3 linked regions of the Lonchura striata genome follow. The protein of the gene in region 1 purifies or fractionates together with the protein of each later gene. This does not show direct contact. Links are inferred from orthologs where the notes say so. Each region holds a gene or a part of one and is shown on either strand. Other genes may lie near its edges. The genes, in order: USP25, KCTD10 and BTBD9.

Region 1 (7,117 bases):
TAAATAAAATAATAAAGTAAAATGAAGTGTGAAGATAGCTAGGGTAAAAAAGGGCACGTTAACTAGGTTCTTGTAAAATCCATAATTTCTGTGGAATTCAGCTGCAATTACATGAACTCAGGAGTCTAAATCTGAGAATTTTTATTTTTGAATGTAGCACCTGACTTTAAGAAGACACGTGAATGAATAGACATCTGCTGTCAAGAAAAAATTAGAAGGTCAGGAACCTTCAATTTAAGGTCAACAAACAATGGAATATGAAGTTGTGTTTTGCATAGCAACAAGACCTATGCTCACCTCATTTTAGTTTTACTTTTAGATTTTCAAAAGGCTTTCAGAAGACTTTTAAGAAGGCTTTTCCTGAGTTACAAATTTTGTTAGTTTTTGTTTTGGTTGCCTTGGATGATAACCACCAGGAGATTTTGCAGGTGCCAAAGCAATGCTTGAATGGTTACCAGTGACACAGGGAGTAATTGCCAAACGATGATTTCAAAAGTTTCATGCTATAAAAGCTGCTTGAATGGCCGTGGTTTTGTCAGTTGGCTGAACTATTTACTGCAGAGCCAAAAGGCCTAAGTGAAAGTGCTCCAAGATGGGGTTTATAAATGTGAATCCTGGGCAGCTCTTGTCCAGGGTTAACTACAGAACCTGTGTTTGTAGCGTTCCCTGTGCTTTTTAAAGCAGTGCTTTCTCATCCCCAGTATAGCAGGTTACACATCTGGGAAAAGAAAACCAAGAAGTCCTGACTTTTGTTTCCCAGCTGTAACTTATGCAGCCACAGTCTAATTAAAGCCCTAAATGCATGTTGCACTTAATTAAAGACAAACCCAAGTCTATTGAAAATGGAGGGAAATAATGAGCTATTTCTTGTTGTACATGGTCTTTGTATACAATAAAACATGTGCTAAAGTGTTTTGTGGTTGGCTGATGTTTTGGCTGCTCTTTGCAAAAATGGGGAAACAAGGATTCCTGTGAGCAGGCACAGGCTTTCCCTCCAACTGGCAGTGTGCAGATCAGGAAGGCACAATCACTTACTGATTTTAGAAATAGGTGAAATGAAACTTGATGGGTACCATCACTGAGCCTGGGTCACCCTCTCTTCTGGGCCAGCCCAGCTGTTCCTGTAGCCAGTCAGTGAACCATTTTGGGGAACTTATCTAGCAGAAGAAAACAACCAGTTTAGTGGGGAGGGGAGTTTGTGCCTGTGTTTCAAGTGAATCACTTCTCCAGCACCGCTGGTGAGCAGGAGGTGCAGACGAGGGGGAGCCTTGCTCAGGGGAACAAGCAGCTGGAGGCACAGGTTGTGCAACATGTCACCAAACTGTTTAACAACCAAACCATGTTTGGTAGCAGCCAAACCCTGCAATATTGTTAAAAGGTGAGGAAAAACTATGGGGAAACCTAACAAACTTCTGTGAAAATATGCACATATATAAAAAAATATATATTTTCCTCTTAAACTGTGGCCCTGACAAAATCATTAGTGTTTACTGATGAGGTATGAATTCCAGGCTTGTACTCAATGTACTTCATAGAGAGCTTGAGCTGCAAAACAGAACAGGGAACTCTGCTCCCTCTGGTTCCCAGCAACACTGTAGGTATGACAGAATCCTCATTTGCATGATTCTGGTTCAGATTATGTATTTAAATGGCAAATCCCTGTTTTGGAATCAGATTGCTCAGCCTTTATATTAAAGAAAGTTAGGAAGCTGGAGCCCTTAAAAATGAATTTTATTGGGGAAGGGAATTTAATGGAAGGTGATGCTTTGTCATTTTATCCTGATTTAAAAAGAATTGAACAAAATGTACAATTTCTTCTTTCTTTTTTGGAAACATTTTATTTTTGGACACAGGAAAGCTATTAAATAAAACAGTGAAAACACTTGAAAAAAATATTGCAAGACAACTGTATTTTATTTAAATGCTAATTTGTTTATAATATGTTCAAATAATGTAAATAATAGTTGTGATGGGAGTTATCTGAACATAGCACATGTAAAAACACGGTGAAGAAGCTGTAAAAATGTATAAGAAAAAGCATGATTATATATTGGAAGAGGACGGAGGAATTGGACTATCACTCCTTCACAGCTACTACAGAAAAGTTTTTTTTAAGAAAAACCCCAAGCTGCTACTGTTGTCTTTCTTACATATAGCCATCAGTCTGAGCAGAGACTTTCCTTTCCTATCTCCAGTAAAGTAATTTGCAATCCATTTCTGAGCCCGTTATATTATCTGCATACTTTCTTATCTTTTGCACAATAAATTCTTTGGAAACAAATTTTACAAATTTCCTTTCATGTTGCAGCATAAAAGGAAAAAAAAAAAAACCAAAACATTAAAACTGATACAATCTATGGGCAACAAACCTGAGAAGTGCAAATATTGATTACATTGCAACATCTCCTGCACAGAATCTACAATGAAATGAAGCAGTGGTTGCAAGTTGTCATGAGTTGTGCTTGTGTTTTCCTTAGAGTCCAGGATCTTCCAGTGATGTTATTACCTGATAATGTCAGTTTTAAAAAGATCCATACTCTACTGTGGGGAGAGGAGGGCTCTGGATTACAGAGTTGTAAAGGCTGTGTGTGACAGACAAGCAATAGCTGCAATTAATTTTGTAGCATTAGGCTCCCAGCTCATGTTTTTTAGGTACTTGGGGCTCTCAGAACTGTGCTGTTCTCTGCAGCTTTTCCTACAGACTGAGCTCCACCAGCCTTGGAAGTGGAACAGGGACACTGGTACCATACACTGGGCAGGCATTCAAAATGTGAGATGGGCTTCTCTGCTGCCCTTCACCTGCTCCTGGGCAAACGTGTTTTGTCCAGCTGAGTCTTGTGCTGCTTGTGCTGATGCCCAAAGCAGAATCCTTTCTTGCCCTTTCCTTGACACCCCAGAGCAGGGTGACAGAAGGACAATTTCTTCCCTAATACTGTTTATCTGTGGTGCCAAAATTCACTGTGGGCTGCCAAGACCAGCTACCCCCCCCCATATGTTAATGACATTGCCATACAATTTGAATGCTGAATGCCATCCAGTCAAACCACGGCTCACCCAGTCAAACCTCAGGGAAAGGGAAGACCTGCAACTTCAGGATGCACCATTACTGTTTCTGGTTCTGGGCTCCTCAAGGAGCTCCTGGAGAGGGTCCAGCAAAGACTGCGAAGGTGATCAGGGTCCGGAGCATCTCTTATGAGGAGAGCTGGGCCTGGTTAGTCTGGAGAACACAGAGGGGACCTCTGTGTATTAATGCATACAAAGATCTCCAAAGTGGGTGCCAAGAGGATGGTGGGGCCCAACAACAGGGCAAGTAGCAATGGCCATAAACTAAAACACAAGAATTTCTAATTTCTACATCAACAGCAGGAATAACTTTTTTTTTTTTTTTTCTTTTCTGTTGAGCACGGCAGAGCACTGGAGCAGCTGCCCAGGGAAGGTGTGGAGTCTCCTCTGGAGACATTCCAAACCCACTTGGACACGTTCCTGTACCACCTGCTCTGGGTGACCCTGCCTTGGCAGGGGGGTTGCGGCGGGCGATCTCCCTTTCAACCCGAGCGATCCTGGGTCTGTGATTCATTTGGCGATTCGGTTTGCCCTGGCCACGAGCAGCCACAGCGCTGGCTCATAAATTCCCTGGCGATCCCCTGGAAAGCGGCACCGGTAAGCCGCTCTGTTTCCCCGCGGCGGGGGCAAACTTTGCCGTCGCCGGGGCCGCCGCTGCAGCCGGCGAAGGACGCGGAGCCCTCCCGCGGGAGGAGCGGGCGGCGGGGCCCGGCGGGAGCCGCCAAGATGGAGGCGGGCGCTGTGACAGGGCGGGGAAGGGGCCGGGCGGGGGCCGCGCCCGGGGCAGGTGCGCGGGGCGGCGCCGCCGGGAGCCGCAGCCGGGCCGAGGGCGGCGCTCCGGGAGCGGCGGCGGGGCCGGAGCGCGGCCGCGCTCCCCCCGCGCCGGGCGGCGACTCGGGCTCCCCCTCCGCCCCGCCTCCCGCCCCGCTCGCCCAGCCCGGGCCCGGCCCAGCTGCCGCCGCACGGCGCCGCCGCCGCCCGCCGAGCCCGGGGCGCCGCCGGGAGCCGCGCGGGGGCCATGACGGTGGAGCAGAACGTGCTGCAGCCCGGCGGCGCCGCCAAGGTGAGTCCCCGGCGGGGCCCGGCCTGGAGCGGCTCCGCCGCGCCCGGGCCCGGCCGCGCCCGCTCCGGCTCCCGCCGTCCCTCCCCGCGCCCGCGCCCGGCTTCTCCCGGGCCTTCCCCGCGCCGCGGCCTCGCCTGGGCCCCGCCGCTCCGGCGGCCGCGGAGCCGCGGCGGGGGCGGCTGCCGGGCCGGCCCCGGGTCACCCCGGGCAGCCCCGGCTCCTGCCCGCGGCCCCGGGCGGGCCTGTTGCGCTCCAGGCTGCTGGGCAGAGCGGCGGGACCGGGGCCGGGCAGCGAGAGCGCCGAGTCCCGGCCGAGCCCCCCGCGGGCCCGGGGGGAGATGCTGCACATGCCCGGCGTGACCCTGCGGCGCCGGCATCCGCGCCTGCCAAAGGTGAACGCTATTTCCAGCGAGTGACGCGCTCCTGCTGGAGTGAAAAAGTGCCGGGTTTAGGGACTCGTGCTAACGTGCATCATGGAACGGGGTTAAGGGAATGACGGCGCTCATCAGGCTTTTACTGTGCGCCAGGACTCGATGGAGAATGTTTCTCTGTCAAAAGAAGAATAAAAAGGATACCTTCTAAAGCTTTCCTTCCCTTGAACTGTCAAGACAAATGTCTAAAATTAAATTGCAGTGCTTTTAAAATAATATGTTTTAAAGGTAACTTGTAGGTTAACACAACTCTTCTGGTTAGTGGTATGGCTGTTGCCTCTTTCCTGATTTTTATTAATGTTTTAATGGCATGTACTGCCTTCCTAAGAGGATAAAGGTATGTGTGCTTTGGTATAGTCGGTGGGGAAGTTAAATGGCTGCAGCCGTAAGAGTGGACAGTGGGAATGTGCTGATTAGGGTATAATTGGTTAAAGTGGTAGAGCTCGCATTTAAGAAGCTTGTTTGGAGGGAGGGCGTGTCTGGCCGAGGACTGCTCTCATAGTTGGAAGTAGTTAGCCGTGATTTTGGCGGCTTCAGCAGGAAGGCAGGCAAGGGCTGAACGGTCTGATTTTGTTCCTCTCTCAGTGTTTTCAGTTGGGGTGTGCTGGCAGGTTAACGCAGCAGATTTGCTGCTACATGCGCCTGCTGTGTTTGAAAACTGATGTTGCTGCTGTGCATCTGACAACTTTCGCGAGCAAGTTTATCTTTTACAAAACCTCTTGTGGTTTACTTAATATATCGTAATTATCACGTCAGATACGAAGTGCCTTCTGGACCCTGATCAGTGCTGCCTATTTGTGCTTTCTGACAATAATCCTGGAGTAGTAATGTTAGTTTTCAACTAAACTAGAAGGATACTTAGTTTTCAGCTAAACTACTGCTTGCGGGTCAGTAGTTCAGATTCACTTGAGTTTCAAATCGAGGATAAGCCCAAAAGGAGGTTGAAGATTGATTGTGGTATATGCCAAGTAATCCATGCTGCAGTAAAAAATATAGCTAGCAATAATTCTGAAGTTGTAATCAGCATTGGTGGGTGTTGGTCACCTTTTAAAGTGTCTAAAGAAACTGAATAAAATATCAAGTTTTTTTCATGGCAGGGTTTTTTTATTATTGTTTCTGTTGAATTATCTGATTATTTTATTATCTGCAATTGCTTTTAACCTGTTTTATCCCTAATTGCATGCATTTAGGGAATGAGGGAAAGGCAAATCTTAAAAGTACTTTGTAAAAAAGCTTTATTTGACTCCAAAGTGAGTGTCTCATTGTTAGCGAGACTAATGACTAGGTAATTGGATGACAAACTTTAACATTGATCAGGTATTTGCATGTAAGAAGGCAAACGGTGAAGGTCCAGTGGGCTGATGGATGGATGAAAGGTGGAGAGGCTACCATAGCAATAACTTACTGTTTTCCCTTGAAAGAAGAAAAGCCCAATGTCCACAAATAAGGGAGTTTGTTCTGGAGACCTCAAAGTTTGTTACAATTGTTTTCTGTTAATGTGAAGAAACCACATACAAGCAGAAATATATTGGGTTTACAAGAGATGCCTGAGTCATCAGCATACCTTATTCGGAGCCATGGTTGCAAACATTGTTCATCAGACGTTTTCTTACTGTCATACAGGAAGCGTGTGTCAAACTTCAGCAGCACTTGGAGATGTAGGTTTGTATTAATAAATGCTGTAACTACAAACAGCCTGCTTCCCACTGAAGCTATCTTTAGTTTATTGTGTAGTTAAAGCAGCTGCGTCAGGTCAAAAGAAGCTTTTCTTTCATCTCTACTGGTCATTTTGACCCTTAGTTAAAACTTGTAAATTATGTCCTGAAGCAAATAATTAATCAAATTATTCTTGTTGCTTATGGCCCTTGTGTGCTTCTATGACATTGTTCGGTGTCTGAAGGTTATAGGTAATGTTCACAGTAAGATTAAAGCATGTGAAAAAGGTAAACAACATGCAAAGTTAAAAAAAAAAGTAGCTTCTTGTTTTGTCCAATCTGCATTTCTGTCCGGTCCAGTCCTTTTTTTTTTTTTTTTTTGTCAGGCATTTTGATGCTGAGGAAATAAGGCACATGTGTTGCAGGATTTCACATAATCTAGGCAGCCCTATGTGGCTGATGCCTGTGAACCTCAATTTTCCTCCTGGAGGAAGATCTCCCCAGGCTGCCCATGTACTGTGCAGACCCTTCCCTTGGCCAGTGTCCCCTACACAGCGAGTTCAGGGGCTGGGTGAATGGTGATTTTTCTGGTAACTGAAAGTTATGATGTGGGGAGGTTAAGCATGTTTCAACGTTGTATCAGCTCTGGTAATTACTGTGATGGTCATCTTGGAATGGCAGATTGAAGAAGCTGGGTTTTAATTGGTGGCACTTAGCTGGCCTCTCAGCAATGTGTGTTATCAAGTTCTACTGCTTCTGGAGAGAGCCTGACATTTGGTTGATACATGGATTTAAAGGCTGTTTTATCTCTCCTTTGGTTTCCCACACCCACTGTTATTTCAGACCTGTGATTCAGCAGTGCATTGGCAATGTAATCTCAGGAATAGTAGATTAATAGTAGAATA
Region 2 (7,419 bases), on another chromosome or scaffold:
TTTCCCAGCAGAGCAGCAAACAAACCCAACCAATATAATGTGGCAGGTGCAAAGTTTGTCAAAATTATGTAGGACTTGTCCTTGTCCATCTCATGATGGGGTGATTAAGCAGGATTTAGGTTCAGCAGCAGTGACAGAAGGGGAAGGGTGGATTTGGTCTCACTCTACTTGAGAAACTTGAGAAATTTTTGCTTTGCTTGAGAAAAATATAATAATGTACAAATCACTGGCAGCTCATCCCTGAGACCCTAACACAGACCCAAAATGCTCCTCAGGAGAGGGGGACAGGCAGGGCTGGGGCTGGTTGGGGTGAAGTTGGGACTGTGGCAGCTCAGACTGACCTGCAGCACGGAGTAGAAGCCCTTCTGGTTCAGGTGGCCCATGATGTTGGCACAGATGTGGTTCATGGCAGGTCTCAGGGTCTCACCTTTGGGTTAAAGCACTCGTGTCACTCCCACAGCACCACAGCCCCACTCTGGCTCCCCCACACAAAGGTTTGTCACTGCCCAAAGTCCTTGTCCTTCTACACAAACCCATCATTCTGTCAGCATTTTACACTGTATTGTTTAGGCTCTAAGAGTCTCATTTCCTCTCACTACTTATCTGCCTTTCCTACATCTATTTCCTACAAAAGTTAAGAGCACATTCCCTTACCCCCTGAACACTTACTGTGTGAGGGTTTCTGGAATATTATAAAAATGCTGTAACAACTGTTGGTGTCCTAAGGGAAACAGTCTAATCCCAAGGGGAAGAGTCTAATCCCAAGGGAATCCTTAATCTGGGCAAACACAGGAGCAGAATGAATCTTTGTGGCAACCAAGGTGCAGAAACAGAATCCCAGAAGGGTTTGGGTTGGAAAGAATGTTAAGGATCATCCCATCCCAAACCCCTGCAAAGAGCAGGTACACCCCCCACTATGCCAGGTTGCTCCAAACCCTCTCCAACCTGGCCTTGGACATTTCCAGGGATGGAGCAGCCACAGCTTCTCTGGAACTTGTGGCAGAGCATTCAGTAAATTTTAACACCAAGTCCCAAATCAGTGAGATTTGGATGCACCAACCTTTTCCCCGGAGGATCTTCCAGGTGGAAGTGTCTGTGAAGGTGACCAGCATTGTGAGGTGCAAGTTCACCAGTCTGGAGTCCTGCAGGATGTCAGGCTGGGATAACAAACAGCAGAGTTAACAAATCCACTGAGCCTTGTGCCCCCTGCCAAATGCAGGGAGAGAAAACACAGGAATAGTCCTCACCTTGAGCTGCTTGAGGAATTCACAGCAAAACCACAGGATGTCTTTGATCTGTTTGATCCAGAGGAGGGTGAGGTCCTTGGAGAGTGCCAGTGACACGTACCACACCTGAGCAAGGGGGGATGCACAGAGGGATCAGGGCTTGTGCTACTGCTGGGCAGTTTGGGAACTGAACCCAGCAGTGGGACCAAGATGCTCCTCTCCCCAAATTCTCACATCACCCACGCCAGAAACCAAGTGTCCTTTAACTCCCGTGGCTGCACAGAGTAAAAATATCCCAGGAATACTAAAGGACTTTCCACAGTGGAATTTCCACAGTGCTCAAGGGTTTCTGAAATCTAAAAATTACGTATTAGCAAAGTAAATCCCCACACAGAGAGTTAAAAATGACCACCAAGCCCTCCCCACTCCAAAGCAAACCCCCCCTGCTGACCTTGGGCTCGTTCTCCACATCCATGCTGTTCAGGATACAACGGCACAGCTTCTCAAACCTCTGGGAAAATCCAAAGGTGGGATTAGTTCTAACTACAGGAAGGGCTGTTCTGGAAAAGCACAAGAACAGCTCAGCAAAGGGAGGAAGATCTCTCTGTCTCAAATTAGCAAATGTTCCCAGCACATTCCCTACAAGAATCCTCATGGCTCCTTCCCTGGGAGCACACACATCCTGCTGCTGCTGTGCAGAATTCCTTCCTTGGGAACACAGGGGTTTTTTTTTGGGTGCTGTACCAACAGAAAACTGCATCTGAGCACAGATTTCCATGGGACAGAGATTAACAAAATCCCTCACTGCTGCTGCTATTGAAACACAGCTTTCCATTTTGCAGCTGGTTTCCTTCCAGTCAGCCCTCACAGCTTCCTGGGATCATCATTTCAGGGCTTCACTCTGAACCCACAAGTTCAGGGAATGGTGAGAAAAGCTGCTGGGGTACAAACAGCCTTCCCTGTGCCAGCATAGATCTCTGGCAGCTGTCCCAATGTACCTGCCTGGGGAACTGGGGTGTGCCAAAATCCTCAGGCACTGCTCAGCTCCTGCAGCTAGCACAGTCACCAGAAAAAACATCCATTAAAGGATGTCCCAAATACAAAACCACTGCTGAAAAATTCAAGGTTTCTCCCATCTCAATCCTACAGGCATATCCCTTCAGGAAGGGCCAGAAGCCAGAGAGAAACTTGCTGAAGGCAGAATATATTGCAAGAACCTCCAAGATCACTGAGTAAAGAATTAAACATATTTAACCTGTCCCCAAAAGCACAGCAGGATGTGAGGGCAGTGTCCTCACCTCCTTGTCCTCCTTGGGATTGAACACAAACAGCAGCTTCCTGGCAATCCTGAACACAGACAGGGCACTTCTTTTACTTGAGCCACATTCATTTGTCCCAAAGAAATCCTCCACCTCTCTCCTAGCAAAGAGGGAAAAACGAGGAGTTAAAAAGCAATCACAGAGCAAAGAATTCATTCCCTGAAGAGCCCCACATGGAAGATGGAGAGAGACTTTTTACAAAGGAAAAAGGGGAATGGACTCAAACTGACACAGGACAGGGTTAGATGGGATACTGGGAAGAAATCCTTCCCTGTGAGGATGGAAGAAGCTGTTGCTGCCTCATCCCTGGAAATGCCCAAGGCCAGGTTGGCGAAAAGTGGTGAGGGTTTTGAAATGAGATGAGCTTTAAAGTCCCTTCCAAGCCAAGCCATTGCATGATCCCATGAGTCCCACACACCTGATCTCCCTCTGCAGGTGGCATCGACACAGAAACCTCCTGACCAGAGCCTGGAGCTGCACTGCAGCTCTCTCCCTCTCCTTCAGCTCCCGCCGCTCCTCCCGCGCCTGCCGGGCCTTGTCCAGGAACTGGGCCCTGGAGGACTGGCTGGCACTGAACATGGCTGGAGCCTCAGGGAGCAAAGGATCCTCACAGCAAACAGCCTGGAAAACCAGAGCAGAGTGGAAAAAACACTCATAGAAGGGCAGTTCTTGGCTCCATGCAGAGGAGGGGAGAATCCGACAGCGGAGGGAAAGTGGGCTAAAAAAAAAAAAGAAAAAAAAACCCCAGTGACTGTCACGGGGCTGCAGCAGGGACACAAAAACACTGGCAGGGAATCCTTCCAGCACAGCCCACAGCCTGCTGCTGGCTGGGAGATTTTAAGTGGAAAAATAAACAAATCAGTGGTGTTGACACTGTGCTCCACCTCCCCTCTCCAGCATCTGCTCCTTCCTTGGTAACAGATAAGAACAACTCCCAGGCAGGGGCAGGAGGCAAAGGGCACAAGGGACAGCGATTTACTGCCTTTCAGCAGATAAAACACCCAGAGCTTTATAAATAGCAACAAAGCACTCACCTGAGGGGTCACTTATTCAAGGGAAGCGTGTGATGCTCATTTACACGCACACATCGAGAGACTTCGGGCAGCTCCTGCATGGACAAGCACATTCCCTGCGGCTGATTTGGGGACTTAAGACTTTCCCTCCGCAGTTCCGAGTCCTTCGGAGCCCATTTACCTCTGGCTGCAGCCGCAAGGAAAACGGTAAGTGGGAGGAGAAGCAGCACCACAGGCAGCTGAGGGGGGTGCGGAGCAGGGACAACCCCGTGTGTGACAGCACGAGAAGGACAAAGCCACCCAGGTGCCACCCCCGGGCAGCCACCCACAGAGGTGCGCTGCGGCTCGCAGGAGTCGCCCACAGCAGCCACAGAGCCCCCTCAGCCCCTCCGGCAGCCGCGCATCCCTCCCGTTCCCACCGCAGCCTCCCCGGGCCCGCACTGCGCTCACCCCGCCGCGCCTCCCCCCGCAGCCCCCCGGCGCTCACCCTCGTCCCGGCGGGCACCGGGCCGGGCCTCACAACCCCGGAACCCCCCGGGAACCCCCCGGGAACCCCCCGGGAACCCCCCGGTCCCTCCCGGCTCCGCCGCCAGGCCGCGGCCGCAGCCCCCTCCTCGCACCGTGTCCGCGCTGCCCGTCCGGCCGCCAACCCGCCCCGCCGCTGCCGTTCCGCCGGGCCGCTCACCGGCCGGGCGCAGGGGGAACGGCCCGCCCTGCGTCCCGCTGGTACCGGGGAGGCCGGGCCGGGCCGGGCCGAGCCGGGCCGAGCCCGTGAGGCGGCGGCGGCGCGGCGCGGGCCCGCCGGGCCATCGGACGGGTTTGGGGGCGCACCGGGCGGCGCCGGAAGGCGGGAGCGGCGGAAGTTCCGCGCCCGGCGCTGCCGCTCGCTCGCTCCGCGGGGCTCGGCCCGTTCATGGTGAGGGGAGAAGGCGGCTCGGGGCCGCGAGGGCGGGGAGGCGCTCTGGTGCTCGCGGGGGAGGAGGGGATGGAGGGGCGGATGGGGGACGGCGGGTGTGAGGGGGTGCGGGCCTCAGCACGGGGGAGGTGATGGGGGTCCCCTCGGTGGGGCGGGGGGCTTTGGGGCATGGGAAGGGGGCTGAGAGAGGCCGGGGGTTGCGGGTTGCCGTCCTGCCCGCTGCCCTGGGAGGGGTCGGGCTGAGGGTTTTGGGGGTCCGGCCGCCGAGAGCGGTGCGGGTGTTGAGGAGCGGCAGTGCCCAGGGGCGGCATGGAGAGAGGGGTCCCGGGGGGAGTCTGAGCCCCGGTCCGGTGTGGGGAGGGCAGCGCTGCGATTCGGGGTCATGATGGGATCGATCCCCCTCTGGAACCCCGCGCCCGTTCCTGCCCCAGCTCGGTACCGGAGGGAGCGGGAACGTGAGCTGAGATTGCTGCCTGTGCATCCCGGAGATGATGGGATCGTCTCCAGGCCACCCCTGCCGCTCCTGCTCCCTCTCCTGTGCCACACAGCTCCGGCTCCTTGGGGAGTTTCACGGCGGTGAAGCAAAAATCCTTCGGTTCGGCTCATCGCGGAGCCCTGGGAGCTGGAGGAGCAGGGATGGAGGAGGTGAATTATCCCACCTTTCCCATCCTGAGGGAAAACAGCCGCGGAGGCTCCTAGAGATTAAGGATTTAGCGGCTCTGGGGGCATTTGTGGTGCTGAGCCTCCGTGTGCCTGTGCCCGTGTGACCTCGGTGACAGGAATGTGGCTGGAGGTTGCTGTGTCCGGCTGGATTTTGGTGCTCTGAGCAGTGTGGGAGGGCAGGGAAGAGCAGGAAAGCTCATGTGTGCTCTCCGTGTTTGCTCCAAGAGAAAAAGACTTGAAAACCTGTGGATTTTCTGCCTTTTAGCACTTGGGAATCTGTTGATTTCTGCATTTGGACTCACAGGAATCATCTGCTCCACTTGTGTGTGTTGGGAATTGCCCAATTCCATCCCAGATTATTGATGGAGTAAGAGCTTTAAGCTGTGGAGTTGTGTGAGAAATGAAAGCAGTTGTGGGAAAGCTTGGCTTTGCAGTGCAAAACCCGGTTTAGCAATCCTAGGTGGTGGTTTTTTTTTTTTTGTTTGTTTGTTTGTTTTTTTTTTTCCCCTGGGGAAAAAAACAGGGACTGTGCCCACCAATGTCCTTCAGTTCCTGAGAGTGAAACATTGAAAACACTTGAGAACTTCACACAGAGCCACAGGAGGAGCCGAGGTGTGAAACACCCGGTGGGAGCAGGGGTGTCACACTGCCAGGGTGGCAATTGCTCCTTTGAGCTGGGAATTCCTTCCCTGAAGTGGAAAGTCCTTCCTTGAACTGGGAAGTCTTCCTTGAATTGGGAAGTCCTTCCTTGAGCTGGGAATTGCACTCTTGAAGTGGGAGCTGCTCCCTTGAACTGGGAATTGCACTCTTGAACTGGGAATTGCACTCTTGAACTGGGAAGTCCTTCCTTGAACTGGGAAGTCCTTCCTTGAGCTGGGAGTTGCTCCCTTGAGCTGGGAATTCCTTCCTTGAGCTGGGAGCTGCTCCCTTGAGCTGGGAGCTGCACTCTTGAAGTGGGAACTCCTTCCTTGAACTGAGACCTCCTTCCTTGACTGGGAGTTGCACTCTTGAAGTGGGAACTCCTTCCTTGAGCTGGGCATCCCCTTCCTTGCAGGAAGAGATGTCGGGAGAGAGTGTGGTGAGCTCAGCAGTGCCGGCGGCCGCGACGCGCACGACGTCCTTCAAGGGGAGCAGCCCCAGCTCCAAGTACGTGAAGCTGAACGTGGGAGGGGCCCTGTACTACACCACCATGCAGACCCTGACCAAGCAGGACACCATGCTCAAGGCCATGTTCAGCGGGCGCATGGAAGTGCTCACGGACAGCGAAGGTGAGGATCGGGACCTTCCCGGCGCCCTCCGCGTCCTTCCTGGCCAGGGAAAGTCACTGCGGTCGTGGGAAGGTCACAGGACCTTCTGTTTGAAGGGTTGGAAGGATGGAGGAGCTCTCCTACAAGGGAGGGTTGGGATTGTTCAGCCTGGACAAAAGGCAGGTTTGGGGTGACCTAATTGTGGCTTTCCAGTGCCTGAAGGAGCTACAAGAACCACAGAGGGAGGATATTTATAAAGCCCTGGAGTGGCAGGACCAGAGAATAGGTTTGGATGAGATATTGGGAAGGAATCTTTCCCTGTGAGGGTGGGGAGGCCCTGGCACAGGGTGCCCAGAGAAGCTGTGGCTGTCCCTGGATCCCTGGAAATGTCCAGGGCCAGGTTGAATGGGGCTTGGAGCAGCTTGGGATAGTGGAAGGTGTCCCTGCCCATGGCAAGGAGTGGACTAAATAATCTTCAAGATTCCTCCCAACCCAAAAACTGCTGTTGTTCCATGATTCCATGATTGTACAGCTGGGAAAAATGTGGAACAAAAGACAAAGATGATCTGAGTGGTTGCCTGAACAGAAGGACACCAAGAAGTGCCAGAGCTCCTGTCAGGCCCTGGTGACACCTGGAGCATCTTTTCCTTTCAGAATACTGACACTAAAGCTCTGGAGTCCATGGAAAAAGGCGTGGATAGTGATTAGGAATCCTTGAGCTGGGACTTGTGTGTCTTCTTGGAAGCTCAGAATGCCATTCCCTCTTGTCTCCTTGCTTATAAATAAAATATAAAACATACTCTGAACATAGGTATAAACGAGTTAAAAGCTGATTTTTTTTTAAATGAAACAATTATCTCGTGGGACTGTTGACAGCTGATTTCCCTAAAATAGAACCAGTTGCAAAATTTTCAGAAAATTTGGAATTTTATCTCCGCATTCCCACATTGTGGATGTGCCAGAGTTTAATTAGAAGCTCAGCTTTATTTTCACTCTGATGTTTTACCCATAACAATATTTAAAGACCTTTGTCTT
Region 3 (7,368 bases), on another chromosome or scaffold:
GGGGGAGTTTTACTTTGTACATGGGGTCAGAAGTTCTAAGATGGAGGAATGTAGGCCGGTCCTGTTCTTCCTTGCCTCCATGTTCTTGGTGATGCTGGCTGGCACTTACGGATTGGTTTAGAGTAGAAAAGCACCATTTAATATGGGTAGTAGGTATTGGGGAAAAACTGTAAACATGTATCACATAATGTACCATATAAAAGATAGCAGCAGCCCTGGGCAGGGAGAGAAGAAGACAGCAGACAGAGAGGGTGTCAGAGGTGTGTGCGCCTCTGCCTGAGCTGCTGAGCAAACCGCAGTAGCCAGAGAAGACAATCTTCTAGATAGCTTGCAATAAACAGCCATGAGACTGAACAACAAGAAGCTGCAGAGTTTTTCTTTGGAAGCACAGGTTGGAGGAGAGCCTTTACCACCACCCAGAACCCCTGAACCAGGCCAGGGTTCCAACAACAATCCACCCATACAACTTTATAAATACAGACTATGAAAACTCAAATAACGGCAATTCACAGAACTTTCAAATCCCATCTCCAACCCTTCTGTTGTGAAAGGATTAAAAGGAAAGCAGATGGTAACATTAGTGGAAACTAACCACACCATCCAATCACAGCATTCTAAACAGCAATTTAGTACCAAAAAATGTTTTGACTCAAAGCATATGGGAAGTTATGCCCTGCTCATCTGCAAACACATTCCCATCACTTAAGTGCTGTAGTGCTAACATTTTACACACTCCTCAGACGCTTTCCTGTCACAGAAGAGTGGGAATAAGTTTAGCTAAGTACAAGAACAAAATAACAAGATACTTAGTCCAGATTATTTATTAACATATATATAAAAAATTAACATGGTTAAAATGGCATACAACAAAAACATTAAAATATCAAGAAAACACATCGGGTCCACTCACCAGTGAAGCTGTCTGAAGACCTACAGTGCGTGTAGCCTGTAGGCAGATTCCCTGCTTCCGGGAAATTAGGGTTCTTTGCCATTCTGAACAACAGACAGATTGAACAGCAAGCTCATAGAAATGTTATTCAGCAACATCCAGCTGCACAGCAACAACTGGACCATTTCCTGGAACAATGCATGAAATACACATCATCAGAAATAATGAGTACAAAGCCTTATGATGAAAGTGAGAGATGCATATTTCTCAATTCAACTTCTTGCAGACATAAATTCTTTAAAAAGCTTTCAATTTAACAGGAAAACTTCTAAAAACATTAGAATATAGGAATAGTATTGCTATTCTGAGTCATCATAATTTAATTTTGACTGCTAATATTTTAAACCATTAGAGAAGACAGTAACACATCGCCATATTCCATATAAGCTAAAAAATTCTAACCTGATATTTCTGCTACAGCATTAATGCTCCTGGAAAACACCATTTTCCCAGATGGGTGTCCTAATTAAACTAGGTCTATACAAACTGTATCACACATGCTTTATTCCCTACACAGACAAAATTCTCCAAGTGTTCTTGCCTAACTAAAGTGTTGGGGATTTCATTTGGGTTTTGGTAGTTTTTTTTTTACAAAACTTAAGGCAGCTGCAAGACCTGTCTATTGCACAAGCCTTTTTTTTTTTTAACAGGAAACCAAAACAAAACTGTAAGGTTAGGAATGGAGAAATATAGAGGCTTGATTTGCTTAAATACATAACCAACATAATGAGTTTCTCTCGACAATTACAAATTACTGCTAACCTTCCAGGAAGAAAAATAAACTGTATTTAATTTGCTAAATGGATGATATCTTGATCTATGAATTCTCTCATGATATGTTCAAGAGAACAAAGGAAGAGAAGGCAGAAAAAAATATTTTTAGGTAGTCTCATGAACTAGAAAGTAATCACACCTTAATCCTGCAAATCAAATCCAGGCTTTTTACAAAGAAAAGTCTTCTGGTCTTTGAGGACCAAAATGTAATACATAAGTATCTTTCCTATAAGAAATGCATGTTATCAAGTTTGCCTGTGTTATCAAAATACATTCAAAAGGCATTAATGAAAAATCTTGGGTTTTTTTTGTTTGGTTGGTGGTTTTTTTGGTTTTTTGTTTGCTTTTTGTTTGTTTGTTTTTGTTTGTTTGGTTTGGTTTTTTTTTTTTTTTTTTTTTTTTTTGCTAAATTTGAGTAGAATTCCCAACAAAACAGCTCTAGCACCGGATTTAGAGTTGTAACAGAAGACACATCAAATACACCTGCTCTGTGAGCAGGCTCAAATTAAATCCTGAAACACATAACTTAAACGATTCCAGCACAGGACTTTAAGAAGGTCTGTTTACTATGCTTTAAAAACATGAGCAAAAAGCATTGCTTGGCAAGCGAGATCACCGGAAGATTGCTAACAAGTTAACAGCAAGTTGTTTTTTTTTTTAAAGTCTGATAATATGTCTTCTAAGTTAAGAGTAATTTCAATGAATCACAGCAGTGCGTAACTTGCAGAGTGATTGAACTACTACGACACCAAACATTGGTGAAACAGGGAAAACATTGAGTACCGCGAAAGCATCAAAATACTGAACTTGTGTTTTCTTAAGAAATAAAATTCTAATTAGATGGCCGTAGCACGGCCTTGCGAAGCCAGAGGCAGAACGAGGGGGCGGCAGACGAGGCGGGCGCGGACCAGCGCGGGCGATGCGCCCAAGGTCGCGCCCGGGGCAGCCCGGGCCGCCACCGGCCCTCAACGCGGGAAGCGCCAGGGGAAGGGACCCCAGCCCGCCCGGCCGGCCCCTCCCTCGCCTCCACAACGAGGCACTTCAGGTGAAACCGCTTCCCCGCCAAATGCGCCCGGCGCCTTCCCCGGACGCCGGCGCTCCCCCGCCCCGCCCCAGGTCGCCCTGCCCGTGCCCGGCGGCAGCCGCCGACGGCAGCACCTCAAGACCCCAGGCAGCCTCGGGACCCCGCCCGGCCTCAGGGCCGCGGCCGCCCCGCCCCTCCCGCCCGCGGGACTCACCGGCCCCTCCGCCGCCGAGGCCTCCTCTTCCCGCCCCGCCGCCGTTCAACGTCACCCGGCAGCGCGCTGAAGTCACCGGACAGCAGCGGCCTGCGTATGACGCCAGTGGGTTCCGCCGCGCCGCGGGAGCGCCGCCGCCGCCGCCCTTTTTCCTGCTCCGCCCCTGGAGCGCGGCAGTCGGGACATAGCGGCGCTGCCGGACAGCAGGGACTGTGAAATAGCGACCGCTGTTTAACCTTCCCCGCCACCCCTGTCCGCTGCTCCTTGGCTCCATTCAAAATCCCTGTTTCCTTGGTAGCGGCGTGCGTAGCTCCTGCCCTCCGCTGCGTGTCCTGCTTTCCTGCGTCAGGAGAGCTTCTCCCTGCGGGAATGGGGAATGTGGGCCTGTCGCTACGTAAGCATGACTGACTTGTGTTGCGCTGCATGAAGCTAAATTTATGCCTTTTGGGAGGCAAAGCACTACACGCTATTTAATTCCATGGTTTATTTAGAAGAAAAGAAGCCTTCCTTGGAAGAAGCAAAAATAGTGGCCTGTAATCAGTTGGAACATGAAACAATTTCAGAAGTTTTTCTGTGTCTAAAATACTTTAAAAACGTTGCAGGTTAAGACTTGTAATTCTGGATTTGGGTTTTTTTTGCTTACTAAGCAGAGAAGCTTTAGCCTAGCCTGCTGCTACTTATGTAGTTATCCACTGGACTACATGATAGGAAAGATGTGTGCTAATGTCTTTACAAACAATTCCATGGGCAGGGTATAGGTATTAATGCCTTTGAAATAGTTCCTAATGTCTCTACCAACTTCAAGCCTCAGGTTTGTAAGAGCCCAGACAATTTGACTCCTGAAACAAATGGGTCCACACACAAGCCAGTTTCTGCATTTTGGGGGAAAATGACATGTTAAGGAGGAAGTATGTGGTAGGCAGTTCAGAAAGGCTGTACCTTCCTAGTACCTCAGCCAATGGGGAAAGAAGAGGTCAACATGTGGCTGGGAGTTTATAACACGTGTGTGCCCCAGTGAACACTGCCTTTATTTGAATATATTTGCAGGACGACTGTCTCCTTTGTGGACACTGGCTTTTCATAGTGTGGCTTTTCTGCTCACATGGGGGCTTTCAGGGTCCTTCCACTGTCTGGACCCAGCACATGGCAGCAGGAGCTGGAGTCACACCTCACCCAGTTTTTAGGCAACCAACTCCCTTTGGCACTGGCCACCATCGAGCAATTGATTAGGTTCCCAAGACTGTCCGGGAGACAGATGAGAGGTGGACCAGTGAGGTCTGTGAAGAGTCCACAGGAAAGGATCATTAGAAATTTCATTGCCGAGTACAATGATTCCAAACAGAATACTCTAAGCAAAACAGCAAGCCTTTCAGTCATCAAGAATTCAACAAAAAGCAAAGCAACACTTCATCATGCGTTAAAGTTTCTTGTAGTTTTCACCAATGTTTTATTGGGAAGTGAACTGCAATGCCTTTACACTATTTGTTAGCCTTTGGTTACCCTATACATTATTTGATAGCCACATAACTGAAGACGTTAGGTGCTACTCCAAGCAGAATAAGACAAGGCAGAGGGTTTTATAATTTGTGTAAGACATGGAAATGCTCCATGTTTTCCTGCTGCTCACAGGTATGTACCACCACTTGTTTTGGGAGGACAATCAAACAGAGAATCTTTTTCATTAATTTTCTAGAGCAGAATATACAAAGAATTTAAGTCAAATCTAGCCCCAGACTTCTCCTGAAACAAAAATTATGAGCAAGTTCTTCCTAGTGTTGAAAGAGACAAGGGTCACTGCAAGTTGGCAGCTATGAGACCTCTTCTCTTGGCTGTCAATCAGCAGTCAAAAGCTGAGCTGAAAGACTGAATTCTTTCTGCTGTACAAATTTATTCCTTCTATAAAACTTCTTTTTGCAAGACAGTTTAAGGCTGCTCCTTAAAAGAGTTTTGCCTGGAATAATGTAAATAAGATTATGAATTTTATAAGCAAGCTACTACTCCAGTCAAAATTAGCCTGATATTTTATTTTTCTAGTATGCAAATTAGGACATGAAGCCTTCAGGATCTTCTGACTTCATAAATATACTGAAATTTCTTTTTGCTTCCTCATTGATGCTCATCAGTAGTAACACAGGAATTGTTGCCCATTTAAATCTAATCAGTGTGAGATGCAGTGAGCTTCTGGTCACATATCTTTTGACAGTGTTTATTGAAATATTAACATAAACAATGTTCAAGAGGAGAATCTGTGTAAGTGCTCTTCCAGAAAATGACTGAGTATTCCTAACTGGAAACAATTGGCAGTGGCATCACAGGAGAAGAGAAAAGGAATCCAAGTTAGGTCCCAGGGGATAGTTTTGGAGGAGACTCTGAACGTGACTGATTCCTCTCTATTAAGCAATTTTCACAAACACTATTACAGATTTTCTCCAGGAGTCTGAAAGTGGGTCTCTTATACAATATACTTTGCTAGAACTAAGTGAGAGTCACCATGTGTTTAGGATTCAAAATTTCAATCCAGTAGCCATCAGGGTCCTGAACAAATGCAAGTCCTTTCATTTTACCTATTACGGGAAAAAAAAAAAAAAAGATAAAATGAAGACTACATGACTGATTCTAAATGTCAAATATGACTACTTTCAAAAATATTTTTAGTTTTGCATGAGAATTAGTTCAAATTTAGACAGATAATTCTAAAAACATCCAGCTTAGTTTTTAATCGGCATTAGATCTCTGTATGCAAAACCGTCAATCCTACTCTCAATAAAGCTGTAGTTAAAAGTCACTTTGGAATTCAATCTTTTGTTGATTGAAGTTTTTTGCATATGCCCCAGTAAGTGTTCATCCTCAAAATTCAGGAAAATATTTCTGTGCTCTGGGGATGTTTTGATATATTTTCTTGAACTGGCTTTGCTGGTATAAAATCCTGTGTTCCTCTGCCCTGTTCATCTCCCACCATTCCCAACTCCACAATGAAATTTTACCATAAAATTTTTACCTCTGACATGGTTTACAGTATACTTCTGCACCACTTCATAAAGCAAAGAAATGCAGGACAGGATTGTTATAGATTTTACTGCTGGAAACCATATTATTCCTTAAAACAAGCTCCCCAAAAGTTGTTTTCAACAGTAGATCAGGACAACACAGCTTAAAGTGTTAACCACACACTTGTAGTTATACTTGCTCCATTAAGTTATTTACTGTAACAGACCCAGCCTAACTCTTAATATATTCTAGTCACAAAAACAACGGAGAAAATAGATGTTTATTCATTAAGGCAGGAAAATAAACCCTATGCTTGATCTCCACCATGCTCTGCAAACAATGTTAAACCCAAAACTTCATTCTCCTCCTTGGCATTTGCTGCATCAATTTTGTTTCTGAATTTCAAAGAAGAGCTTTTGCTCTGCCCCCACCCTTCTTCTGCTTCAGGAGTTCTTTCTTGTGATTCTCTCCATTTATAGTCTAAGCTTGTTCTTCTATGTACTTTCATGCCTACCGCTGCACAGCTGTAAGTCAGCAATTCTCACTTCAAGCCTCTCACTGTTTAACAAACAGACAAATTAAAAAAGGCTCAGAAACTCTAAAATGCTAGAAATACCAAGATCTGTTCTTAATTCAAGAAATCAAGTTAAGTTTTCAGCTACATTTCTTATTTTGCTTCAGCTGAGAACACAGTGAATAAGATGAAAATCACTTAAATCTGTTTTCAATTACTAGTATTACATGTCTGGTTTTGCATGCATCAGTCCTAAAAATCTCATGAGGTCTTTTCTATGAAAGAGAATCCTGCTGAAAAATGCAAGACTTCTCACCACTTCTGCATTTTGGGATATCTTCACATATGCATTCTTTGCATATATACTCTCTGAATATTTGTGTGATACATTATGCAAGTCAATTATGATAAAGACTAATGGGCTACTCCTACCAAAGCTGAAAGAGCAGTTAAAAATATAATAGCTGGTAGGTTGTACAGTAGGTGTTAGGTGGATTTACATGAAAATAGCCAGAAAAGTCAAGAATGACTCAGTTTAAATAAGTGGGAACTATTATGTTTTGACTTACTTTCCTAAGACAAGAACCAAGCAGATTTGCCATGTGACTCTGATCCATGTTACAGTAAATTCTGTAACAACTCTAGGCAGCAGTATAAAATGATATGTAAACTATGACATCAAGAGAGAATGTGAATTTTACTGAAGGTTAGGCTGCATACAGAAGGCACATCACAGACTGATGTATTATTGTTACTGGGATGGATCTATTGTCAGTTTTGCCCACTCTGTAAGGCAGTGCAGGGGTAACTGGTTTTAGAAACCTCTAAGCAGTGGCAACTCCTAGCAACGCATTACTCAGCTTTCCAGGAAGATCTCATAGACAGAATATATTAAAATCAAAGGG

Evidence for each region.
Region 2: the proteins of USP25 (region 1) and KCTD10 purify together in Homo sapiens (affinity purification with mass spectrometry; 4 studies listed by BioGRID and IntAct, counting the BioPlex papers as one, with this or other methods). This does not show direct contact. The link is inferred for Lonchura striata from reciprocal best matches to the Homo sapiens genes USP25 and KCTD10.
Region 3: the proteins of USP25 (region 1) and BTBD9 purify together in Homo sapiens (affinity purification with mass spectrometry; 3 studies listed by BioGRID and IntAct, counting the BioPlex papers as one, with this or other methods). This does not show direct contact. The link is inferred for Lonchura striata from reciprocal best matches to the Homo sapiens genes USP25 and BTBD9.

The regions. Positions count from the first base shown.
Region 1 is NC_134604.1:8,527,684-8,534,800, reverse strand, and holds the start of USP25 (ubiquitin carboxyl-terminal hydrolase 25), read left to right. Parts: upstream 1-4,019; 5' UTR 4,020-4,081; coding exon 4,082-4,126; intron 4,127-7,117. UniProt on the Homo sapiens protein: Deubiquitinating enzyme that hydrolyzes ubiquitin moieties conjugated to substrates and thus, functions in various biological processes including inflammation and immune response.
Region 2 is NC_134620.1:11,168,099-11,175,517, forward strand, and holds the start of KCTD10 (BTB/POZ domain-containing adapter for CUL3-mediated RhoA degradation protein 3), read left to right. Parts: upstream 1-4,416; 5' UTR 4,417-4,471; coding exon 4,472-4,474; intron 4,475-6,191; coding exon 6,192-6,405; intron 6,406-7,419. Other genes in the region: UBE3B (ubiquitin-protein ligase E3B), read right to left, coding at 342-427, 1,061-1,157, 1,248-1,352, 1,678-1,737, 2,525-2,645, 2,964-3,124. UniProt on the Homo sapiens protein: Substrate-specific adapter of a BCR (BTB-CUL3-RBX1) E3 ubiquitin-protein ligase complex. The BCR(BACURD3) E3 ubiquitin ligase complex mediates the ubiquitination of target proteins, leading to their degradation by the proteasome.
Region 3 is NC_134605.1:29,139,019-29,146,386, reverse strand, and holds the start of BTBD9 (BTB/POZ domain-containing protein 9), read right to left. Parts: upstream 3,074-7,368; 5' UTR 2,962-3,073; intron 1,078-2,961; 5' UTR 993-1,077; coding exon 911-992; intron 1-910. Other genes in the region: GLO1 (lactoylglutathione lyase), read right to left, coding at 5,437-5,525.